Linked DNA regions of Stegostoma tigrinum. The protein of the gene in region 1 purifies or fractionates together with the protein of each later gene. This does not show direct contact. Links are inferred from orthologs where the notes say so. Each region holds a gene or a part of one and is shown on either strand. Other genes may lie near its edges. The genes, in order: rnf139 and insig1.

Region 1 (12,495 bases):
AAACTCATTCCTGTATAATCAGAAATACGAGCTCCCACGTTCCCTGATCAGATTCAGGGAACAGTGACTCCAGTCTCTCTTGCCCAGCCTTTTTCCAATGCACGGAGAGTTACTGAGCAGAGGACAACAGAACACAGAGCACTACAGCACAGTACAGGCCCTTCGGCCCTCAATGTTGTGCCGACCTGTCATACCGATCTCAAGCCCATCTAACCTACAGTATTCCACGTACGTCCATATGCTTATCCAATGACGCCTTAAATGTACCTAAATTTGGCGAATCTACTACCGTTGCAGGCAAAGCGTTCCATTCCCTTACTACTCTCTGAGTAAAGAAACTACCTCTGACATCTGTCCTGTATCTCTCACCCCTCAATTTAAAGCTATGCCCCCTCGTGCCCGCCTTCACCATCCTAGGAAGAAGGCTCTCCCTATCCATCCTATCTAACCCTCTGATTATTTTATATGTCTCAATTAAGTCACCTCTCAACCTTCTTCTCTCTAACGAAAACAGCCTCAAGTCCCTCAGCCTTTCCTCGTAAGACCTTCCCTCCATACCAGGCAACATCCTCGTAAATCTCCTTTGCAACCCTTCCAAAGCTTCCACATCCTTCTTATAATGCAGTGACCAGAACTGTACGCAATACTCCAAGTGCGGCCGCACCAGAGTTTTGTACAGCTGCAGCATAACTTCTTGGTTCCAGAACTCAATCCCTCTATTAATAAAAGCTAAAACACCATATGTCTTCTTAACAGCCCTGTCAACCTGGGTTGCAACTTTCAAGGATCTGTGTACATGGACACCGAGATCTCTCTGCTCATCTACACTACTAAGAATCTTACCATTACCCCTGTACTTTGCCTTCTGGTTACTCCTACCAATGTGCATCACCTCACACTTGTCTGCATTAATCTCCATTTGCCACCTCTCAGCCCAGCTCTGCAGCTTATCTATGTCTATCTGCAACCTACAGCATCCTTCGTCACTATCCACAACTCCACCGACTTTAGTGTCGTCTGCAAATTTACTAACCCATCCTTCTACGCCCTCATCCAGGTCATTTATAAAAATGACAAACAGCAGTGGACCCAACACCGACCCTTGCGGTACACCACTAGTAACTGGTCTCCAGGATGAACATTTCCCATCAACTACCACCCTCTGTCTTCTTTCAGCAAGCCAATTTCCAATCCAAACTGCTATATCTCCCACAATTCCATTCCTCCTCATTTTGTACAATAGCCTATTGTGGGGAACCTTATCGAACGCCTTGCTGAAATCCATATACACCACATCAACCGGTTTACTCTCATCTACCTGTTTGGTCACCTTCTCAAAGAACTCAATAAGGTTTGAGGCACAACCTTCCCTTCACAAAACCGTGCTGACTATCCCTAATCAATTTATTCTTTTCTAGATGTTTATAAATCCTATCCCTTATAACCTTTTCCAACACTTTACCAACAACTGAGGTAAGGCTCACTGGTCTATAATTACCAGGGTTGTCTCTACTCCCCTTCTTGAACAGGGGAACCACATTTGCTATCCTCCAGTCATCTGGCACTATTCCTGTAGACAATGACGAGTTAAAGATCAATGCCAAAGGTTCGGCAATCTCCTCCCTGGCTTCCCAGAGGACCCGAGGATAAATCCCATCCGGCCCAGGAGACTTATCTATCTTCACACACTGTACGATTTCTAATACCTCTTCCTTGGGAACCTCAATCCCACCTAGTCTAGTAGCCTGTATCTCAGTATTCTCCTTGACAACATTGTCGTTTTCTAGAGTGAATACTGTTGAAAAATATTCATTTAGCGCTTCCCCTATCTCATCTGACTCCACACACAACTTACCACTACTATCCTTGATTGGGCCTAATCTTACTTTCGTCATTCTTTTAATCCTTAAACACCGATAGAAAGCCTTAGAGTTTACCCTGATCCTATCCGCCAAGAACTTCTCATGTCTCCTCCTGGCTCTTCTGAGCTCTCTCTTTAGGTCTTTCCTGGCTACCACATAGCCCTCAAGTGCCCTAACTGAGCCTTCACATCTCATCCTAACATAAGCCGCCTTCTTCCTCTTGAAGAGAGATTCCACCTCCTTTGTAAACCACGGCTCCCGCGCTCTACAGCTTCCTCCCTGCCTGACAGGTACATACTTATCTAGGACACACAGGAGCTTTTCCTTGAATAAGCTCTACATTTCTAATGTGCCCATCCCCTGCAGTTTCCTTCCCCATCCTATGCTCCCTAAACCTTGCCTAATCTCATCGTAATTGCCTTTCCCCCAGCTATAACTCTTGCCCAGTGGTATACACCTATCCCTTTCCATCAACTAAAGTAAACATAACAGAATTGTGATCGCTATCACCAAAGTGCTCACCTACTTCCAAATCTAACACCTGGCCAGGCTCATTACCCAGTAGCAAATCTAATGTGGCTTCGCCCTTGTTGGCCTATCTACATACTGTGTCAGGAAGCCCTCCTGAACACACTGGACAAAAACTGACCCATCTATAGTACTCAAACTGTAGTGTTCCCAGTCAATATCTGGAAAGTTGAAGTCCCCCATGACAACTACCCTCTCTCTCTCACTCCTATCGAGAATCATTTTTGCTATCCTTTCCTCTACATCTCTGGAACTATTCGGAGGCCTACAGAAAACTCCCAACAGGGTGACCTCTCCTTTCCTGTTTCTAACCTCAGCCCATACTACCTCAGTTGACGAGTCCCCAAACATCCTTTCTGTAATTGTAATACTGTCCTTGACCAACAATGCCACACCTCCGCCCCTTTTACCATCTTCTCTGTTCTTACTGAATCATCTAAATCCCAGAACCCGCAACAACCATTCCTGTCCCTGCTCTATCCATGTCTCCGAAATGTCCACAACATCGAAGTCCCAGGTATTAACCCATGCTTCAAGTTCACACATCTTATTCCAGATGCTCCTGGCATTGAAGTAGACACAGTTCAAACCAACTTCTTGCTTGCCGGTGCCATCTTGCTTCCCTGAAACTTTATTGCGGACCACCCTACTCTCAACCTTTTCTACAGTTGAACTACAATTTTGGTGCCCATCTCCCTGCTGAATTAGTTTAAACCCACCCGAATAGCCTTAGCAAATTTCCCCCCCAGGATATCAGTACCCCTCTGGCTCAGGTGAAGACCATCTTGCTTGTAGAGCCCCAATTATCCAAGAATCCAAAACCCTCCCTCCTGCACCATCCCTGTAGCCACGTGTTCAACTCATCTCTCTCCCTATTCCTCGCCTCACTAGCACGTGGCACAGGCAACAAACCAGAGACAACAACTCTGTTCATCCTAGCTCCCTGAATTTCTGCCTTAAATCCCCATCTCTCTTCCCACCTATGTCATTGGTGCCAATGTGGACCACGACTTGGGGCTGCTCCCCCTCAAGGATCCCAAAAACACGATCAGAGACATCACGCACCCTGGCACCTGGGAGGCAACACACCAACCATGAGTCTCTCTCGTCCCCACAGAACCTCCTATTTGTCCCCCTAACTATGGAGTCCCCAATGACTACTGCTCTGCTCCTCTTCCCCCTTCCCTTCTGAGCAGCAGGGACAGACTCTGTGCTAGAGACCTGTGCCCCACTGCTTTCCCCTGGTAAGTCATTCTCCCCCCTCCCCCCCAACAGTATCCAAAACGGTATACTTATTGTTGAGGGAAATGGCCGCAGGAGATCCCTGCACTGCCTGCCGGTTCCCTTTCCATCCCCTGACCGTAACCCATCTGCCCACCACAGACAAAGTTCTTGTCCATCATGGTGGAGCCCATTGCATTTTCTGATGTACACATTTGTAGGACAAAAGGTTCTCCAAAATTTAAGTTTCTCCATATAATCCTTCACATTTTTACACACCTTTGCTTCTGTAATCTTATGGCTCCTACCAATTTTCAATGTAATAAGATCAGGAAATTTTGGGCTCTAGCAACTGCACTAACGAGACTGCAGAAAAGCATCCGAAACTTAACTATCTTTAACTGCTTCATCAATGGCCTTGCTCCTTTAGGAGAGAGTTAGCTCAGTGACAGCTAGAGTGTTTAATACCACCTGCTCAAAATAATGGCACAGTCCACACCACATGGAGCAAGATTAGGAGAACACTGAAGCTCAGGCTGATAAATGATGTATAATAATATTAATGTTACCCAAGTGCCAGATATCAATTCCAGGAAAATTTAACCAATAGCCCTGGATAGTCAACACTAATATTAATCAAATGCCCCAAACATCAAAGGGTGGTATTTCCAATTTATCACAAATCATACTGAACCCATCAGAAACAAACGTGCAGCAGCTACAAGGCCTACACTAGTAAAGGAGTAATATGCTGGTTATAATCTACTGGGAAGGTAAAGAGTTAATGGAATACTTTGCTTGCTTAGTACAACTCTAACACCAAGCCTGACACCACCCAGGACAAAGCAATCTGAGTGGCAAATCATGCACAACTTCAAAAACTCACTCCTACCAGCAATGAATCCTGGTTGGGTTTTACAAGAACTTTATGCAAATCTCTCTGAAAACTCTTTCCAAATTTACCCTCTCAACCTGAAAAAGAAGCTTCAAAACTCAGCACGTATCTCCTCTCAGAGCAGAATACCGGAGAGAATCCCTCTCCTAAAATAGCTTCGGGGACTTGAAGTATTAATTCAACAACCTTTTTCAGAATTTAAGGATTGCAACTTGGGCTCATCTGTAGATAAAGAAAAATCATGTAATGAAATAAAGACGTGCCATTTCCCTCAGACAAGGGCTGCAAACTGGCCACGCAGAATCTTTTGCAAGCCTGCTCTTAACTAATCCAGAGTTGTTTGCGATACCACACGACGAGGATTTTTGACTTGTCCGACAGGACCACCCCCAATCACTGGGGCTGTGTGTTGCTCATTCGACAGTGGCCCCTCCTGCAATCACTCACCCAGCAACCGCTGTGATACTTGTCGAGCCACCGTGGACAGGCTCTCAAGGCCGTCAAAGTAAGAGTTCAAGATGGCGTCGATGACGAAGATGCAGGGGACCCGCAGGGCCACGTCCAGGACCCCCCGGAGGTGACTCCCCATTGACAGCCCCTGCGCTGACATGGGCGACCACCGGCAAACGCTGCGACCCGCTCACAACAAACTCCGCTGTTGGCTGAGAGAGTGGCTCGGCCGGCTGGCCAGCCAGCAGGCCAACCGGCCGGCGTACTAAAGTCGAACCCCTGTTTATCTGGCCGGGCTGTAGCTGGCGGTGAGTCAGCTGTCGGCCCGGTGTCGCTGTCTGCCCACGTCCGCCGCGACTGTCCGCTTCCTCCCCATCGCCCAGGCCGCCCTCCGCCTGCCGCGACTCCCGCTCAACGCGAAAGGTGCGTCACGTAGACTGGCACGTCATAATCGGACGTAGGAGGAATATGGAGGGCGATAAGATGGAGAAGACGCAGTGACCTCACAATCACAAGCAGGATGGAACGTTCAACCGGGATCGCCCGGGGGCACGCGGCCGCGTCACAATCAGACGTGCGCCGATTTCTGAGTTTGCGCAGAGACGTTTACTCCGATGCAGACCGTTGCCGTGGTGGTTCATATTGAAACTGTGCTCTTGCTGTTGATCTGTTGCAGCAATGCTTGGTGTAACTTGAGAGCTTAGAGAATGTCATTACAGCTCAGCAAGAGGCAATTTAGTCCATCATGTGTGAAAAAAATCTAGTCAGTCCCCTGCCACGGAGCTTTGCAAGTTTGTCTTCCAAGTGCCCGTTTCATTTCTTTTTGAAGTCATTTGTTTTTCTCTTCTTCCACCATAGTTAGCAAGTCTCATGTCATTGACGTTACTTGCATTCAGAAAATAATCTTCAATGCATTCTTCTGTATCTCCTTTCCAAAACAACTTTCAAAATTACCCCACCCCCGAACGCATCCGAAGACCTCCCCCACTCGTGTCCGCCCCCGTGACCTGTCCGTCTTTTCTCCCAGTGATAATGGGCACTGCAGATGCTGGAGAATCCAAGACAACAAAGTGTGGAGCTGGATGAACACCGCAGGCCAAGCAGATGAAGGGTCTAGGCCCGAAACGTCAGCTTTTGTGCTCCTGAGATGCTGCTTGGCCTGCTGTGTTCACCCAGCTCCACACTGTGTTATCTGGTCTTTTCTCCCACCTCACTGACCAACCCCCGACCCCCAAGTCCTACCTATTAGCCTCCTATCGGTCTTCTTGACCTGTCTGTCTTCCCTCCCATCTATCCGCCCCTCCCGCCTCACTGACCAACCCACATCCCAACTCCCTACCTAGACACACCTTTACTAGCTTCATCCCCACCTCCTTGACCTGTCCATTTTCTCTCCACCTATCTGGTCCTCTCACCACTTTCTGTTATCACCTCATCCTGTCTGTTTATCTCAGCCCCTTTCCCTTCCCCCATTTCTGAAGAAGGGTCCAGACCCGAAACCGATGTCAATTTCAAGCCCACCGACTCTCAAAGCTACCAAGAATACACCTCCTCCCACCCACCTTCCTGCAAAAATTCCATGCCCTATTACAATTCCTCCGCCTCCGCCGCATCTGCTCCCAGGATGAGGCATTCCACTCCCATACATCCCAGATGTCCTCGTTCTTTAAGGACCGCAATTTTCCCCGACAGTGGTCGAGAACACCCTCGACCGTGTCTCCCGCATTTCCCGCAACTCATCCCTCACATCCTGCCCCCGCAATAACCACCAAAAGAGAATCCCCCTAGTCCTCACATACCACCCCACCAACCTCCAGATACAACACATCATCCTCCGACACTTCCGCCACCTACAATCCGACCCCACCACTAAAGGCACTTTCCCCTGCAACTGCAGGAAGTGCTACACTTGCCCCCACACCTCCTCCCTCACCCCATCCCAGGCCCCAAGATGACTTTCCACATCAAGCAGATGTTCACCTGCACATCCGCCAATGTGGTATACTGCATCCGCTGTACCCGTTGTGGCTTCCAGCACATTGGGGAAACCAAGTCGAGGCTTGGGGACCTCTTAGCAGAACACCTATGCTCGGTTCGCAATAAACAAACTGCACCTCCCAGTCGCGAACCATTTCAACTCCCTCTCCCATTCCTTAGACAACATGTCCATCCTGTGCCTCCTGCAGTGCCATAATGAGGCCACCGAAGGTTGCAGGAACAGCAACTCATATTCCGCTTGGGAACCCGGCAGCCTAATGGTATCAATGTGGATTTCACAAGCTTCAAAATCTCCCTTCCCCCCGCTGCATCCCAAAACAAGCCCAGCTCGTCCCTGCCTCCCTAACCTGTTCTTCCTCTCATCTATCCCCCCCTCCCACCTCAAGCCGCACCTCCATTTCCTACCTACTAACCTCATCCCGCTCCCTTGATTTGTCCGTCCTCCCCGGACTGCCCTATCCCCCTCCCTACCTCCCCACCTATATTCTCCTGTCCACCTATCTTCTCCTATACCCATCTTCGGTCCCCCTCCCCCGCTCTCCCTATTTTATTCAGAACCCTCTCCCAATCCCCCTTTTCTGATGAAGGGTCTAGGCCTGAAACGTCAGCTTTTGTGCTCCTTTGACACTGCTTGGCCTGCTGTGTTCATCCAGCTCCACAACTTGTTATCTTAACCCTATGACTCGTATTCATCCCTTCTTCTAAATTTGCCTCAATATGTTATAGTCAAGAATGTTCATTAGTGATCATTACTTCCACAGTTTAAATTCATGTCTCTTGCACATGATGCTGAAAATAGTCAAGAAATTGCTATTTGATTTCCTGCTTTGTTCCTGAAGGCCAATGATTCTAAAGTGGTGAGAGTTTAAATTGTTTACTAAATCTTGGAAATATAAATAAGATTTTGCAAAACTTGTTAAGGGCTTAATATTAATCTGTGGTTCACAGTCTCAATGTTGGATGGAAATGGGTGTTGTCAACCTGCACAAACCAGAGTTGGGACCAAAGGTTCATGCTTCGAGGAGGCAAAGTTCCAATTTTGAAACTGTCACTCCCCCATTATCTTTTTATGTGCATCTGTGCTGTGGCAACTGGTGTCCATGAGTGGCTATGATCTGAAATGTGTTGTGTGAGAGAGTGGTAGAGGCAATTGTATCATGACTTGCAAAAGTAAATATAATGTCAGGCTGCAAGGAGAGGATGAAGGCTTAGCTGAAACAAAATCAAGTTACAGCAGATGCTGAAAACAGAAACAGAAAGTAGCAGAGATAACAAAGTGTGGAGCTGGATGAACACAGCAGGCCAAGCAGCATCTCAGGAGCACAAAAGCTGACGTTTTGGGCCTAGACCCTTCATCAGAGACCTCTCTGATGAAGGGTCTAGGTCCAAAACGTCAGCTTTTGTGCTCCTGAGATGCTGCTTGGCCTGCTGTGTTCATCCAGGTCCACACTTTGTTATCTTGGATTCTCCAGCATCTGCAGTTCCCATTATCACAGAAAGTAGCAGAGAAACTTAGCAAATTTGGCAGTCTCATGAAGATGGGGGGGGGTGGGGGAGAGAGTTAATGTTTCAAGTCAAGTACACATGTATGGCTGTTCTATGGAATTACAGCAGTGTGATCAGATAGATTTTCTTGCAAAGAACTGTCATGGAGTTTATGGATTAAATGGCCTTGCCTGTGCTTTAACCATTCTATCGTAGAATAGAGGATAGAACAGAGATTGGGATCAATTGAATGTCTCCCGACAAAGAATTGGTATGAGTACAGTGGGTTTAGTTGGTTTTATTTGTGCTGAATCATTGTGTGATTGTGCAATTCCAGTTATGTCAACTTAAAATTTGTTTATTGATAATTAATTCCAATTGCATAATTCTGTTCCAAAGCAACTTTCAAACACATCCGCTGGACAGTGACATTTATTCCACTGGCCTGAAAGACTTCTGCATGAATGGAGAGCTATGGATTGACCCATCTGAGAAAGGACAGCTAACATACGCTGCTGGGTTTCCTCTCCTGATCTATAAGTTCAATAGATTCTGGACAACAGGTTTCTATCACTGAAATAATGAGAATGACAACTCCTTGTACCTCTCTCAGACCCCCAGCTGGATCTCCTTCCTCAATCGTGCCAAAGGCTCTAGTTTGTGGGTCGGCAATGGCACAGTAATTGAAGGGTATCACGGTTCGCTTATGTCGTCACGAGCAGGTAGGCAAGGCAACACTAGGAAATGGAAAGCATTCAGGAAATTCAGGACAGATTCATACAATTGTACCATAGAGTGTAGACAATGCGAGCAAGGGATAAAAACGGCATAGGCGAGATAGTGGATCGATGTGCACAGGGAAACTGACATACAAGATTAGGATTGGGTAGTGGTCTACCCCAGGACCCTCAATAAGAAATGAAAATATAACATATTTTAATCCTAGAACCCCAACCTATCAGACTACTCTGAAAGCTGGACATAGCCACCATAAAGTTATTAATCCAATTGAATTTGTCTCTCTCAACCCAATGCCCAAAGCCCATAAAGAATTTCTTTACGTCTCAGACAAGATTTGCTATGATGGGAGCCTACTATACATCTCCAATATCAACATCGAGACAAACGTGACGTACTGACAGCTGTTGGGGCTGGCTATGGAGCAGGAGTCGCGACAGTCAATTCTGTCGATCTGTCTTCCTTGCAATAGCAGTTAATAGATCTAAAGGGAGAAATGAAGAAGCGCATGCAAATGGGACTAGACCACCACCACAAAACGACCGACAATGGTGCCAGAGATACCAGGATACATGTTAAGGCCATTTCCTTACTGGAAGACGCTGGGAAGACCACCGAGACTAACTGCGTGAGAATTAACAATAATACAAAGGGCGCCCAGAAACTGTGTCTGTGTGTTGTGATTGCTTCCTGCATTCTGACAGACTACCAAACCCATATGACCATACTTTTGAATCACTGGCTCCCCTCCTGGATTCAAGATCAAGACCTCCAAGCAGTGAGTTGTGGACATACACCCTTGTACCAGGGAGCTGGCACAAACTTTCATTGTTATACCCCTGATGTGCCAAATGTAGTGGGAATACATTTGAGGGTTCCAGAGTATGCTAATTTATCTTTACCTCTTTTCCGTCTCCATGTTCCGGGATATTTTAATAGGACTGAACACAAGGCTCTCAAAGACAACTGAAAGCTGTTAACAAGGAAAAGTCCTTGGACAGGACACATTTTTGTTATGGCCAACCGATACGATTTCCAAAAGCACCCACTATGGAGTGCAACTGTGACATCCAAAAGAACCAAGTCCAATGAACATGTTATGCGATTATGAACCAACAACCATTTTAACTCCCCCCACCCCCCATTCTGCAGACAACTTGTCCATCCTGGACCTCCTGCAGTGCCACAATGATGCTACCCGAAAGTTGCAGGAACAGTAACTCATATTCCGCTTGGGAACCCTGCAGCCCAATGGTATCAATGTGGACTTCACAAGCTTCAAAATCTCCCCTCCCCCTACTACATCCCAAAACGAGCCCAGCTTGTCCCCACCTCCCTAACCTGTCCTTCCTCCCACCTATCCCCTCCTCCCACCTGAAGCCGCACCCCCATCTCTTACCTACCAACATCATCCTGCCTCCTTGACATGTCCGTCCTCCCTGGACTGACCTATCTCCTCCCTACCTCCCCACCTACACTCACCTTTACTGGCTCCATCCCCGCCTCTTTGACTGGTCTATCTCCTCTCCCACCTATCTTCTCCTCTATTCATGTTCTATCCGCCTCCTCCCCTCCCTATTTATTTCAGAACTCCCTTCCCCTCCCCCATTTCTGAAGAAGGGTCTAGGCCCGAAACATCAACTTTCCTGCTCCTATGACGCTACTTGGCCTGCTGTGTTCATCCAGCTCTACACTTTGTTATCAAGTATACATTGCTACTCCAGCAAAGCATTATAACAAAAGACACCCGAACTGCTCCTTTGAGGGACATTATCTAGTCATAACTAACCTAAAGGAAATAAATCACTGTTGGAGGGGAGACTATTAGCCCCCTGCACCAGGGTATCAAGGGAAAGGTAAAATCTTACAGTATCTTCCACACTGGAAGCAGAACTAACATGACCTACAAGACCTTCTCCCAGCCTTACTTGTACTGTCTCCCCATGCACCATTATTGGCAACAGTTATTAACTGGAGCCCAGGATGTGGAACACCAGTGAATACAAGAAGGTATCCAGATCAAAAAGACCAAATCTAAGATTGAGGAAGTTTTCCATGGAGTTTAATGGTATGAGCTTTTGTGGAATTGGGGATAAACTACCGATATGCACCCTTGGATCAGGATTATCTCTCACATCTTCACTGTCTTACAAGAAGTCGTCCTAATCATTCTTATCATGTTCTGAGGAAGGGTCACCGGACCCGAGACGTTAACTTTGTTTTCTCCTCCACAGATGCTGCCAGACCTGGTGAGCTTTTCCAGCAACTTTGTTTTTGTTCCGGATTTACAGTTCTTTTGATTTTCATTCTTTTATTGTTCTCGTCCGCTACATACAGAGAAAGTTGACTCAAACTGCATGTGGGGAAAAACTTATTCCCTCAACTGGCAGAGCAGTGAAAAAGGAACCCATATTCAGACCACCACCCTAACAACTGGAAAGTCTCCAATTGGCCTCGTGGCCACGTGGATTGGCCATGGGCCAGAAAGGGGTGGGGGTGGAGCTGAAATAGGGGAATGAGGAGTGTGGGTCCTTTTAGTTTTTAAAAGTTACAGAATGCCAAAAAGAATATGAAGCCTATATGGGATAACAAGGTGTGGAGCTGGATGAACACAGCAGGCCAAGCAACATCAGAGGAGCAGGAAGGCTGATGTTTCGGGCCTAGACCTGATTTGACTGGGCTGGGAATCATATATGCACTGAATAACAGCAGAAGGGGTAGTAGTGTGATTGTCGTGGCTGGGTCTTGAGATTTCACTATTCATAGTTTACTCATTCATTCATTTAAATTTCTTGAAGGGAACATTAATGTTATCTTTTCTAGTTTTGGGTGGCATGGTGGCTGGGATGGTATTGTTTTGAACAGATTACAAAGTTAACATATACTCAGGGATAGCCTCTGATGTAGACATAGGTCTGGACACTGCTAGCAGCATGGGGCGGAAAGGGTTAACATAGAATAGAATACAGCGCAGAACAGGCCCTTCGGCCCTCGATGTTGCGCCGACCTGCGAACTAACCTAAGCTCCTCCCACTACACTATCCCATTATAAAGCTGTGAAAAGGCAGAAATAGGATGAAAGGAATATTTTAGTCTGTCTTTAATATTGAAATATATTGCAAGATCGCGGTTTAATGAATGTAATACGGTAATCGTAAACATAGTACACTCGTCAGTGGTCAGAAAAGTTATGAATGAATAAGAGTGGGATAGTGGTAGTACGGAGCGCTTGGGAGGAGATTTGTAAAGAGGACCTTGAGTATGAAAGTAAAGAGGCTTATGATATTGTATCTCACAAAAAAGGATAGAATACAATAT
Region 2 (12,730 bases), on another chromosome or scaffold:
TGGAGTTTAAAAACAGGGAATCGATGCTGCAGTTGTTTCGGGTCCTGTGAGGCCACTTGGAGTACTACGTGCAGTTTTGGTCTCCTTACTTGAGAAGGAATATACTAGCACTGGAGGGGGCGTAGAGGAGATTCACTTGGTTGATTCCAGAGTTGAGAGGGTTGGATTATGAGGAGAGACTGAGCAGGCTGGGATTATATTCATTGGAATTCAGAAGAATGAGGGGAGATCTCATAGAAGCATATAAGATTATGAAGGGAATAGATAAGGTGGAGGCAGGGAGGTTGTTTCCACTAGCAGGTGAAACTAGGACCAGGGGGCATAGCCTCAAACTAAAGGGAAGCAGATGTAGGGCTGAGGTCAGGAGGAACTTCTTCACCCAAAGGGTCATGAATCTGTGGAATTCCCTGCCCAGTGAAGTGGTTAAAGCCAGCTCGCTGAATGTGTTTAAGGCAAGGCTAGATAAATTTTTGAATAATAAAGAAATTAAGGGTAATGGTGTGTGGGCAGGTAAATGGAGCTGAGTCTCAAAAAGATCAGCCATGATCTTATTGAATGGTGGGGCAGGCTCGAGGGGCCGGATGGCCTACTCCTGCTCTTAGTTCTTATGTTCTGTCCATAGATAGTTCCAGACCTGCTGAGTTAAAACTTTTCATTTTGCATTAATCAGGACCACAAGAAAAACTCAGAAGAAAAGGGACACCAATTTGTACAGCATTTACGTAGTATCCCATGTTTAAGTCTGTTTCTTGCAGCCAGTGCTGGTAAGTACAACTTTTTAGCAATGTTTACCTTCTGTACAACCAAGCAATTTTTGAACTTTTAGATAGTGATTGCAGTGAAGTAATCAAACAGCTATCTATAATTCTCTTCATTTTAGTTTGTTATCACTTATAAAGTTCACTTCTTTGTAATGAGTTCGTTTCCCTGATGGTTCTCTCACATTTAAGCAAACCTTACTCTCATCCACTTTGATATCTCCTGGTTAGAACGTTGTAATATCCAGGTCCTGTTGGAGACAGAAGAGAAATGTAACTTCCTTCTCAAGTGTTTTTCTGTCCTTTTCAAAATTAAGACACCACTTTACGCTAAAAATAATAATTGGGGGGAACGATAATTTTTGTCCCATTAACAATTGGAAGGATACAGCACTTGCGTGGTTGATGCCAACGAAAACTGCTACACATCTCATGACACTTGCCCACTCTCTTTTGAATTTGTGAGGCTCTCCAAGGTGGCTGTCAATGCAGGGATACAGCAGACCTACCACAGCTGAGGAAAGGTTAGATGATAAATTAGTTGCAAACTTTAAACTTCATCTAGAAGAACATTTTTTAAAGCTAGCTGTTATGGATTTCTTAAAATGCTTACAGATTTCTGCAAGGTAAAATACTTATCTTTCACTACATGAATAGGATAAAAATTGTCAATAGTTTGGTGTGTTAAAATGTAACTAAAAAGGGGAAAACAACCAAAAATAAATGCTGGAGATGGACAATGTAAAAATTAGCATCAGATAGAACAGATCACCATTTAGGGTTGAGCCTTTTCTTCTAAATGTTAAGTAATTTGCATGTTAATTGTGTAACTCCATCATTTTATATTCCTCTCTAGAAAACAGAACTATAAATGATCAGCTTCAATGAACAATGTCACTGCTGAGCTCAACTAATGACATTGCACAACAAGTTAAACCTATAAGCCCACAGAACATAGAATCAGAGATGGGCCTTTCAGCCCCTTGAGCTTGTTCTGATATTCAATGCGATGTAGGTGTGGGCAATGTCTCACTAACAGTGTTAACCATCATAAAAACACAACCCATCTTTCTGAACATTATCTCCAAATAGCAGGACTGAGAACAGTCACCAAGACACCTGAAGTTCACTATAACAAAACAAAGAACTGTCGATGCTGAAGGTTTGAAGCAGAAACTGTTGCAGAACCTCAACAGGTATTGCAACATCTGTGGAGAGAAAGCAAGAGTTAACATTTCCAGTCCAGTGACCCTTCTTCGGGGGTTGACTCGGCTTTCCCTACGTAGATGCTGCCAGACCTACTCAGTTTTTTTTCTGCAATGCCAGTTCCTTGTTGCATGAAGTTTCACTTCTACAAGAAAGTCACCACAGAAACTCCGAAGGTCGATCACGTGAGCTGTACAGCAGGTAACGAACCGTATTACATAAAATTTAAATCTTTTCTGGCTTCCTTTGAAGACCACCTCTCCTGTCTATTGCGCCGAGATTGGGTTGAGCCTATTTAAAAGCAGGTGAATGCTAACATCAGTGAAATAGAAAGGGTGGGGAGGGAAAACACACAATGTTAATAAGTTCAGCACTCAGCAGTATTACAAACTCTTGAGACAGGCTCAGCATCCTGTCACTTCATTTCCTTGCTTTCATTCTGTATTTTAGTTTAGAAAGCCAAGTGGTATGTTGCACATGACAACCAATCAGGAGCGAGCAGTCCAGCTCACCCGTTGCCAGCTGAGCCAATCAAGAAACAGCACTGCACTCCAAGGCCCCGCCTCCTCCAGCGCGCTTGCAATTTCATGCAAATCTAGCGACACGTGGCGCGAAAAACCTCCCTCAGGAATATAATTGAAATGAATCATCGGCGTTAAAAAACACTGGCATCTTCCGCTAGTGCGAAGATGTCTTTTGGAACTTCAACGTCAACTAGCCTTGTTTTATTTCCATTTCAAGGCGTGAAAATTGACAGTTTATGAAAGAAAAACTGACTTCCTATTTAAAAGTTAATAAAATGTGAGGCTGGATGAACACAGCAGGCCAAGCAGCATCTCAGGAGCACAAAAGCTGACGTTTCGGGCCTAGACCCTTCATCAGAGACCCTCTCTGATGAAGGGTCTAGGCCCGAAACGTCAGCTTTTGTGCTCCTGAGATGCTGCTGGTCCTGCTGTGTTCATCCAGCCTCACATTTTATTATCTTGGAATCTCCAGCATCTGCAGTTCCCATTATCTCTGATCCTATTTAAAAGTGTTCTTTCTTGTGAGCGGGGAGATATGTGTGTTGCAAATGGTTGGGGATTGTTCGAATTAAGCCACTTTTTTTTATCTTTAGAGGTTGGGAGTTACTATAATTTTACTGCAAGTTTCACACCAAAGTTGAGATGCATTTTCTGAAAGAATCGAGGATTTACAGTGTCACAACACAAAAGAGGTTGATATGTTACCGCGTTTGGAGAGAAAAAAAGATTTGAATTGCGGAAAATGACAAACACATGCTTCTGTCGAATACAGACGCCAAATGCTCAGTGTTAAAGAGTCAAGAAGTTATTGATTTAAGGGTTTGTCAGCTCTAGTGCTTACAACTCATTAGATTACCATGTTTGGTGACAGATGCCCAATGCAAGAACACAGTAGGATTGGAATGTTTTTTAATAAAAATGCTGAAAAACTAAGAACTTTTATCGAGGCTTTCAAAACATCTGTATTCCAAATTCAAGTCTAATGACAATTTGTTGACGTTTTAATAGGACAAGAAGTATTTTTTTAAAATAACATTATTTAACAGGTCTGGTTGATATTTTAAAGAGTGCCCCTTTTTCGTTGAATGGAGGATAAAGTTTGCTACAGGTTACTCTCTTGAACAACTTCAACACTGTAAAAAGGCCTAAACTTATTGGCATATTGATTTCTCCCTCCCAATACCCCGCGCTTACCTGCCGCTGTGCCACAACAAGGTGGTACCCACCAGGCAGAGGAGAAAATTGTGGCAATGACCTCTTCGGGGAACAGGGTGACGTGCCTCTGGATCTGCAGCAGGTTCAACACCAGCGCCAGAAACACTCCCACGGTGAAAAGCACCAAGCCCCGCCGCAGTAAGTTCATGGTGTGACCGCTAACCAGGGAGCAGTAGGCACTGACTAGGATCGAGCTGACGATGGTCATCATCTCGTAGACCTTTGCCACCAGCAGTGTGCCGTTACTTTCAGACGGATGTACCCGGGTGCAACTGCACGACCAGCAAGTTTCTTCGATCCTTGACATTTGGTATGGAGAGGCAACTGGCAGGAATTACACTAAATTGGCGGCGCCTCCACGGCCCTGCAGGGGTGAACAGCAAACGGAAAAGATAAAATCAAATGAATTCATTTGAGTGACACTTAAACACAACAGGGGAGCGTGTCCAAATGCCAAACTTTGTGAAATTATCGACACAGCAAGACCAGTAAATACTGAACACTGCGATATTCCAAATGTTAAGCCACTGAGAATGGTGGTGGATTTGCAAGTGAAGATGGTCTCAAGAGTTAATGGTAAAGAAACAGGCTCGCCCTGATACGTTAGCTTCGTTTTTTTTCTAGGCTAATGATGGCCTCAAACATAAGAGAGCTAGCTGTACAAACAGGGAGAAAGCTTTACAGGCAAACACATCCTATCGTCCCGAACAGACACAAGATAAATACTCATTTTACTTCTTACAGCCACACCGGGTTACAGTATAACCAACTCATCACTGAAGCACTAAAACTCATTCCAGTGAAATCAGCCTGATAAACAAAGCTTACCGTCCAGTTTTGAGCAGCGCTAGCACTAAGCACCATTAAAAGCCAGCCTTCTGTGAAAAAAAACAATGGGGGTGGAACTTTGTGCAGGCAACGCTTTTCAGGTTGCCAGTTGCTCTACATTGTATGTGTGGAATTATTAGGTCACATCCTGCAATGGGACTATTCATACAGCGCAGACGGGCAAGCGGTCAAAACAATCTGTCTGGTGAGACTCTTGGAGCCAATCGCAGTCTGAACGGCCCATATGACGTTAAGGACACACCATTCGGTGCACCGTCCGTTTGCACAGGAAGAGGAGGATAAACCACACCTTCCTGTCAAGGCATCATAAAATACACGCACTGTCACTCTTTACTCATCCGTTCTCCTCCCCCCCCACCCCCGCTTAAAGACTGAGAAATGAAACTGAAGTGCAGAGGAAAGCGGATTGAATGGTGACCCAGACTATTTGACAGGGTGAAGTGACCTTGTGTAAATTACAGACAGCCTGTGAATGTGGGAGGCAGGCAGAACGTGTAGAGGGACGAAGCAGAGCCTGAATCTGCAGCACCACCTTATTTTTAATGTTCTGTAATTATCTCTCTGCCTCATTTGATTGGATTATAGGTCATTCCTTGGTTGGTTATTCAGCTGTTGACACTTTTACTCACTGTCTAATACTCCTGGCCATCTGCAGAGACTTGTCATCTGACACTCGACTCATTAGAATGGATCTTTCCACCTCTCTGCTTGTAATCCATGGGTCAGTGTGCCTGCTGTCTCACCACACTTGACAAAAGGCTACACTCCAAAAGCTTGTGATTTCAAATAAACCTGATGGACTATAACCTGGTGTCATATGACTTCTGACTTTGTCCACCCCAGTCCAACACCAGCACCTCCACTTCCTGTCCTTTTGAGTAGGAAGTCTTCCAAACCTGCTAAGTTTCTCTTTCAATTCCTTCCACTTCCTGCAGACTAAGGGGATGGCCGTGGGCACCCGCATGGGCCCCAGCTATGCCTGCCTCTTTGTAGGTTACGTGGAACAGTCCCTCTTCCGCACCTACACAGGCCCCAAACCCCACCTCTTCCTCTGTTACATTGATGACTGTATCGGCGCTGCCTCTTGCTCCCCAGAGGAGCTCAAACAGTTCATCCACTGCACCAACACCTTCCACCCCAACCTTCAGTTTACCTGGGCCATCTCCAGCACATCCCTCACCTTCCTGGATCTCTCAGTCTCCATCTCAGGCAACCAGCTTGTAACTAATGTCCATTTCAAGCCCACCGACTCCCACAGCTACCTAGAATACACCTCCTCCCACCCACTCTCCTGCAAAAATTCCATCCCCTATTCCCAATTCCTCCCCCTGCGCTGCATCTGCTCCCACGAAGAGGCATTCCACTCCCGCACATCTCAGATGTCCAAGTTCCTAAAGGACCGCAACTTTCCCCCCACAGTGATCGAGAACGCTCTTGACCGCGTCTCCCGTATTTCCCGCAACACATCCCTCACACCCCGCACCTGCCGCAACCGCCCAAAGAGGATCCCCCTCGTTCTCACACACTACCCCACCAACCTCCGGATACAACACATCATCCTCCGACACTTCCACCATCTACAATCCGACCCCACCACCCAAGACATTTTCCCATCCCCACCCTTGTCTGCCTTCCGGAGAAACCACTCTCTCCGTGACTCCCTTGTTCGCTCCACACTGCCCTCCAACCCCACCAAACCCAACACCTTCCCCTGCAACCGCAGGAAATGCTACACTTGCCCCCACACCTCCTCCCTCACCCCTATCCCAGGCCCCAAGATGACTTTCCACATTAAGCAGAGGTTCACCTGCACATCTGCCAATGTGGTATACTGCATCCACTGTATCCGGTGTGGCTTCCTCTACATTGGGGAAACCAAGCGGAGGCTTGGGGACCGCTTTGCAGAACACCTCTGCTCGGTTCGCAATAAACAACTGCACCTCCCAGTCGCAAACCATTTCCACTCCCCCTCCCATTCTTTAGATGACATGCCCATCATGGGCCTCCTGCAGTGCCACAATGATGCCACCCGAAGGTTGCAGGAACAGCAACTCATATTCCGCTTGGGAACCCTGCAGCCCAATGGTATCAATGTGGACTTCACCAGCTTCAAAATCTCCCCTTCCCCCACCGCATCCCAAAACCAGCCCAGTTCATCCCCTCCCCCCACTGCACCAAACAACCAGCCCAGCTCTTCCCCTCCACCCATTGCATCCCAAAACCAGTCCAACCTGTCTCTGCCTCCCTAACCTGTTCTTCCTCTCACCAATCCCTTCCTCCCACCCCAAGCCGCACCTCCATCTCCTACCTACTAACCTCATCCCACCTCCTTGACCTGTCCGTCTTCCCTGGACTGACCTATCCCCTCCCTACCTCCCCACCTATACTCTCCTCTCCACCTATCTTCTTTTCTCTCCATCTTCGGTCCGCCTCCACCTCTCTCCCTATTTATTCCAGAACCCTCACCCCATACCCCTATCTGATGAACGGTCTAGGCCCGAAACGTCAGCTTTTGTGCTCCTGAGATGCTGCTGGGCCTGCTGTGTTCATCCAGCCTCACATTTCAATATCTTGGATTCTCCAGCATCTGCAGTTCCCATTATCACAAGTTTCTCCAGCATTTGTGTTTGTTTCAGATTTCCAGTATCCACAGTATCTTATTTCTATTCAAGTATATCCAGGTAGCAGTCGAGGAGAGTATAACATTCATTGTGTGAGGCTGAACCTCACAGATGCTGAATTTTCATCACTTGCAAGATTGCCAACTTGGCCTGTAATATTATGGTCACCCAATTCTGTTCTGATCCAGGGCTACTGAAAGCACTCAATTCATATCTCTTACGTGCAGAAAGCAGTTGGACAGAATGTCATGTTTTGGCATGTAAATTCTAGATAACGTTATTTTTAAGTGGAAATGTTTTGGATAAAGGAGTAATTTTATATTGACAATACAGTATGGAGCTGGAGGAGCACAGCAGGCCAGGCAGCATCAGAGGAGCAGGAAAGTTGACAAAGTTGAGGAAGGGTCCCGACCCGAAACATCAACTTTCCTGCTCCTCTGATGCTGCCCGGCCTGCTGTGTTCCTCCAGCTCCACTCTGTTGTTTTTGACTCCAGCAGCTGCAGTACTTGCTATCTCTGAGTAATTTTACATTGGGCCACTCTCCTCATACTCTCCCTTTAAATCTGTTTTTTCTCCAGTACCACAATGAATGGAATGGTTGAAAATATGTAAGAATGACTCAGTGAGAATGCTTGCTGACTCTAAATAGTGGGATTGAATAAGAGGAATATGAACACTAGTACAGATCATTTGAGCTCACCAAATGGCCTATTTCTGCAATTCTATGCAACAAGGTCCCTGCAATTCCAGTTGTATTTTCTCCACAGTAACTTTATCTGATATAGGGTACTCTCTGAGTGAAGGACCAGTCTCTATTGATAGTGCAAGAAAATGATGGGGCTACAAGATCAGCCATAATCTCAATTCAGTGGCTCAAAGAGCTGAATGGTCTGCTGCTGCCCTTACTTCTTGTGTTCTTATGATAGCAGACACTTTCTACATTCAGCATGTCATGTGTGCAAATCCAATTTAACCCAGATTTGAATCAAAGCAAAATTCTCTGGATGCTGGAATATGTTTATTCCTTCACAGGATGGGGGTGTCGCTGACTAGGCCAGCATTCATTGCAAATCCCTAATTGCCCAAAGGGCAGTAAACAGTCAAACACATTGCTGTGGTTCTGGAGTTCCATGTAGCCCATGTAAGGATGGCAGTTTTCATCCCTGCAGGATATTGGTGTACCAGATGGATTTTTACCAACTATGAACAATAGTTTCATGATCATCATACAGTGTGGAAACAGGCCATTCGGCCTAACAAATCCACACTGACCCCTAAAGAGCATCCCCCTAACCTTTGCCTGTACCCCTACATTTTCTATGATTAATGCACCTAACCGACACATCGCTGGTTACTATTGGGCAATTTAGCAAGACCAATACACCTAACCTGCACATCTCTGGGTAGCAGGAGGAACCAGAAACTGCTGGAGAATCTCATCAGGCCTGTCAACATCTGTGGCGAGAGGCACCGAGTTAACATTTAAAATCCAGCATGACTCTTCATACCAATTCTGAAATGTTAGCTCTGTTTTGCACACTTCATGGATGCTGGCAGGCCTGCTGAGTTTCACCAGCTGTTTTTCTCCAGCCCCTTATGCTTTTAATCCAAATTTGGATACACCAGTCTGACCACAAAATAATTTGTCTTGAGTTATTTCAAAAGGAAAGAGGAACTGAAATATCAGCTTGAGAAACAGAGCATTGAAATATGATGAAGGGTCTAGGCCCTAAACGGCAGCTTTTGCGCTGCTAAGATGCTGCATGGCCTGCTGTGTTCATCCAGCTCTACACTTTGTAATCATTGAAATATGAATCTATTCTAACTTGCTGATTGACACTACAGGAAAACTGTAACTTCCTCCAGGGAGGTAAGTAATTGAAGTCTTGCTGCTTTTGTTAATCAATTTCCAGCAGCAACTTTCTGCCTGGAATACAGTCAGAATTGCAGAAATAAGCTGGCATCTTATTCTCCGACACTTCCGCCATCTACAATCCGACCCCACCACGCAAGACATTTTTCCATCCCCACCCCTGTCTGCTTCCGGAGAGACCACTCTCTCCGTGACTCCCTTGTTCGCTCCACACTGCCCTCCAACCCCACCACACCCGGCACCTTCCCCTGCAACCGCAGGAAATGCTAAACTTGCCCCCACACCTCCTCCCTCACCCCTACCCCAGGCCCCAAGATGACAATCCACATTAAGCAGAGATTCACCTGCACATCTGCCAATGTGGTATACTGCATCCAGTGTACCCGGTGTGGCTTCCTCTACACTGGGGAGACCAAGCGGCGGCTTGGAGACCGCTTTGCAGAACACCTCCGCTCGGTTCGCAACAAACAACTGCACCTCCCAGTCGCAAACCATTTCCACTCCCCCTCCCATTCTCTTGATGACATGTCCATCATGGGCCTCCTGCAGTGCCACAATGATGCCACCCGTAGGTTGCAGGAACAGCAACTCATATTCCGCCTGGGAACCCTGCAGCCCAATGGTATCAATGTGGACTTCACCAGTTTCAAAATCTCCCCTTCCCCTACTGCATCCCTAAACCAGCCCAGTTCGTCCCCTCCCCCCACTGCACCAAACAACCAGCCCAGCTCTTCCCCTCCACCCACTGCATCCCAAAACCAGTCCAACCTGTCTCTGCCTCCCTAACCTGTTCTTCCTCTCACTCATTCCTTCCTCCCACCCCAAGCCGCACCTCCATCTCCTACCTACTAACCTCATCCCACCTCCTTGACCTGTCCGTCTTCCCTGGACTGACCTATCCCCTCCCTACCTCCCCACCTATACTCTCCTCTCCATCTATCTTCTTTTCTCCCCATCTTCGGTCCGCCTCCACCTCACTCCCTATTTATTCCACAACCCTCACCCCATCCCCCTCTCTGATGAAGGGTCTAGGCCCGAAACGTCAGCTTTTGTGCTCCTGAGATGCTGCTTGGCCTGCTGTGTTCATCCAGCCTCACATTTTATTATCTTGGCATCTTATACACATGGCATTTAATGCGGGTGAAAGTGCTCCATAACTATATGTTAGTTTCAAAAACACTCATGAATTTGCAACAACATAAAATTACTGATATTATTTCTCACTGAAATAGACTATTGAGCCCAATCAGTCCTTCTCGCTAATAAGCTCCACACTAACCTGTGGTCATCCATTCTCAACTACCTCTATCAGCACAGCCCCCATCTCTCCGCTCGTACTCTTATCTAGTTTTCCCTCAATCATTCAACTCAATTACTCCTAGTGGTAACAAGATCCATCCACATTCTTTACCAACGCACAGATTTAATTATTTGTTAAATGCGTTCCATGACAGGAGATGCCTGTAAACTTTAGGTTCCAGTTACTAATTAACTCTTTTTTTGAATCAGCATCCACAGTCCCTATACCTGTCTGTTTGTCTGGCTCAATCTCTATCTATCACTGCCTCTCTCTACTTACAGAGATAGAAACAACAGAAAATGTTCTATTTGGACATTTCGAAAGCTTTTTGGCTGATTAATTATTTTGAAGTGTGGTCATTGTTATGGTGCAGTTCCAACAACATCAACAACTTGTATTTATTCAGTGCCTTTCTCACAGGTAAGTGCCTCAAGGCATTTGACAGGGGAGAAGGCAGATAAAAATTGGCATGTAGCCAAAGAAGTATTTGCTAGAATGGGCTACTAAAAGCTTGGTCAGACCTAGATGTTGGGCAGTGTTTTAAAGAAGAGGGAGCAATGGACAGCCAGAGAGATGTAAGAAAGGACTTCCCAAGCTTACAGCCTAGATGGCTTAAAGCAGAATTGCCAACCACAGTGCAAGGGGAAGGAAGTGAGGAATGCATGTGAAGTTGGCGTTGAAGGAATCTTCTTGGAGTGTGGTGGACTAGCAAGAGTTCAAAGACATCAGCTAATAAAGAGGTTTGTGTGTTTAACTTTCTTTCATTCACAGAAATAGAAGATAATGTAGGGACTAATGAGATCCAAAAAATTAAGGTAATTAGCATCAGCAGTGAAAAAGAACTGGAGAAACTTAAGGGACTGAGTTCTAATAAATCTGAAATGCAGATAAAGTTGCCATAATCCCACTCTCTCATTTGAGAGATGACTTGTGGGAAGTTTAAACTGCGGGTGAAGTTGAGAAGTTCGGATTTTCATGGTAACCTTAGTCAGGGTAAGAATGGAACCCATGGTATTTGCATCACTCTACATCATAAACCAGACATCCAAGCTTACTACCCCACCGTTGGTCCTCAAAGCAAATAACATTCATGCCACATAAATGTCAGGCTAAGACCATTATCAATAAGATAAAATGTAACCACTACTTCTTAACATTCAAGAGTGTTACAAACCCTGAATCCCCCACTATCAACATCCTGGGGGTTATCAGTGACTAGAAACTCAACTGGACTCACCACATAAACACAGTGATGACTAGAGCATGTCAGAGGCCAGAAATACTGTTGCAAGAACTCACATTCTAACTCCCAAAAGCCTGTCCACTATCTACAGGGTACAAGTCAGGAGTATGATGGAATACTCCCCACTTGTCTGGATGGGTGCAGATCCAACAATACTCAAGAAAGTTTACACCATCCAGGACAAAGCAGCCTGCTTGATTGGCATTACACCCACAAACATTCATTTCCTCCACCACTGCTGCTCAGTAGCAGCTCTATGTACGATCTATAAGATAGAAATTCACCAAAGATCCTCAGACAGCACCTTCTAAACCCATTGACCACTTCCATCTAGAAAGGTAGAGGCAGCAGATACATGGGAACACCACCACCTTCAAGTGACACCCAAATCACTACCACCCTGACTTGGAAATATATCACCATTCCTTCACTGTTTCTGGGTCAAAATCCTGGAATTCCCTCCTTAATGGTACTGTAGGTGAACCACAGCAGGTGGACTTCAGCGAGTCAAAAAGGCAGCACACCACCACCTTCTCAAGAGCACCTAGAAACGGGCAATAAATACTGGCCCAGCCAGCGATGCCAACATCGCATAAATTTGTAAAAAGTAAAGCTGCAGAGATCAGGGTTACAAAATCTGAGCATCCAGTTCCTCAGAGGATTTGGTTTCACTGATGTACAGGAGGCCACATTGACAGATATGCAGGTGAACCTCTATCCAATGTGGAAGGTTTTTTTGGGGCCTGGGATGGAGGTGAGGGGTGAGGTGAAGGGGCAGGTGTAGCATCTCTTGCATTTGCAGGGAAAGGTGCTGGGGCTAGTGGGTTTGGGGCAGACAAGGGAGTTGTGGAGAGAGCATTCCCTACGGAAGGCAGATAAGGGTGGGGAGGGAAATATATCCTCGGTTGTGGGGTCAGATTGCAGGTGGTGGAAGTGACAGAGAATGGTACGTTGATTCTGGAGGTTCGTGGAGTGATATGTGAGGACAAGGGGGATTCTGTCTTTGCTTTTATTGTGGGGAGGGAATGTGAGGACAGAGGTGCAGGAAATGCAAGGGGCTGTAGTTTGTGAAATCTTGAGACCTGGAAGGCTATTGTAGGTTGGGCAGCACCTATTCCACTGGAGTCTGAAAGGTTCCAG

What was found.
Region 2: the proteins of rnf139 (region 1) and insig1 purify together in Homo sapiens (affinity purification with western blotting, with the first as the bait; 3 studies listed by BioGRID). This does not show direct contact. The link is inferred for Stegostoma tigrinum from reciprocal best matches to the Homo sapiens genes RNF139 and INSIG1.

Annotation. Positions count from the first base shown.
Region 1 is NC_081358.1:76,980,829-76,993,323, reverse strand, and holds the start of rnf139 (E3 ubiquitin-protein ligase RNF139), read right to left. Parts: upstream 5,468-12,495; 5' UTR 5,117-5,467; coding exon 4,954-5,116; intron 1-4,953. UniProt on the Homo sapiens protein: E3-ubiquitin ligase; acts as a negative regulator of cell proliferation through mechanisms involving G2/M arrest and cell death.
Region 2 is NC_081355.1:142,089,521-142,102,250, forward strand, and holds the start of insig1 (insulin-induced gene 1 protein), read right to left. Parts: upstream 4,808-12,730; 5' UTR 4,532-4,807; intron 4,508-4,531; exon of another isoform or gene 4,446-4,507; intron 4,068-4,445; 5' UTR 4,011-4,067; coding exon 3,683-4,010; intron 2,752-3,682; exon of another isoform or gene 2,098-2,751; coding exon of another isoform or gene 2,061-2,097; intron 1,273-2,060; coding exon 1,148-1,272; intron 1-1,147. UniProt on the Homo sapiens protein: Oxysterol-binding protein that mediates feedback control of cholesterol synthesis by controlling both endoplasmic reticulum to Golgi transport of SCAP and degradation of HMGCR.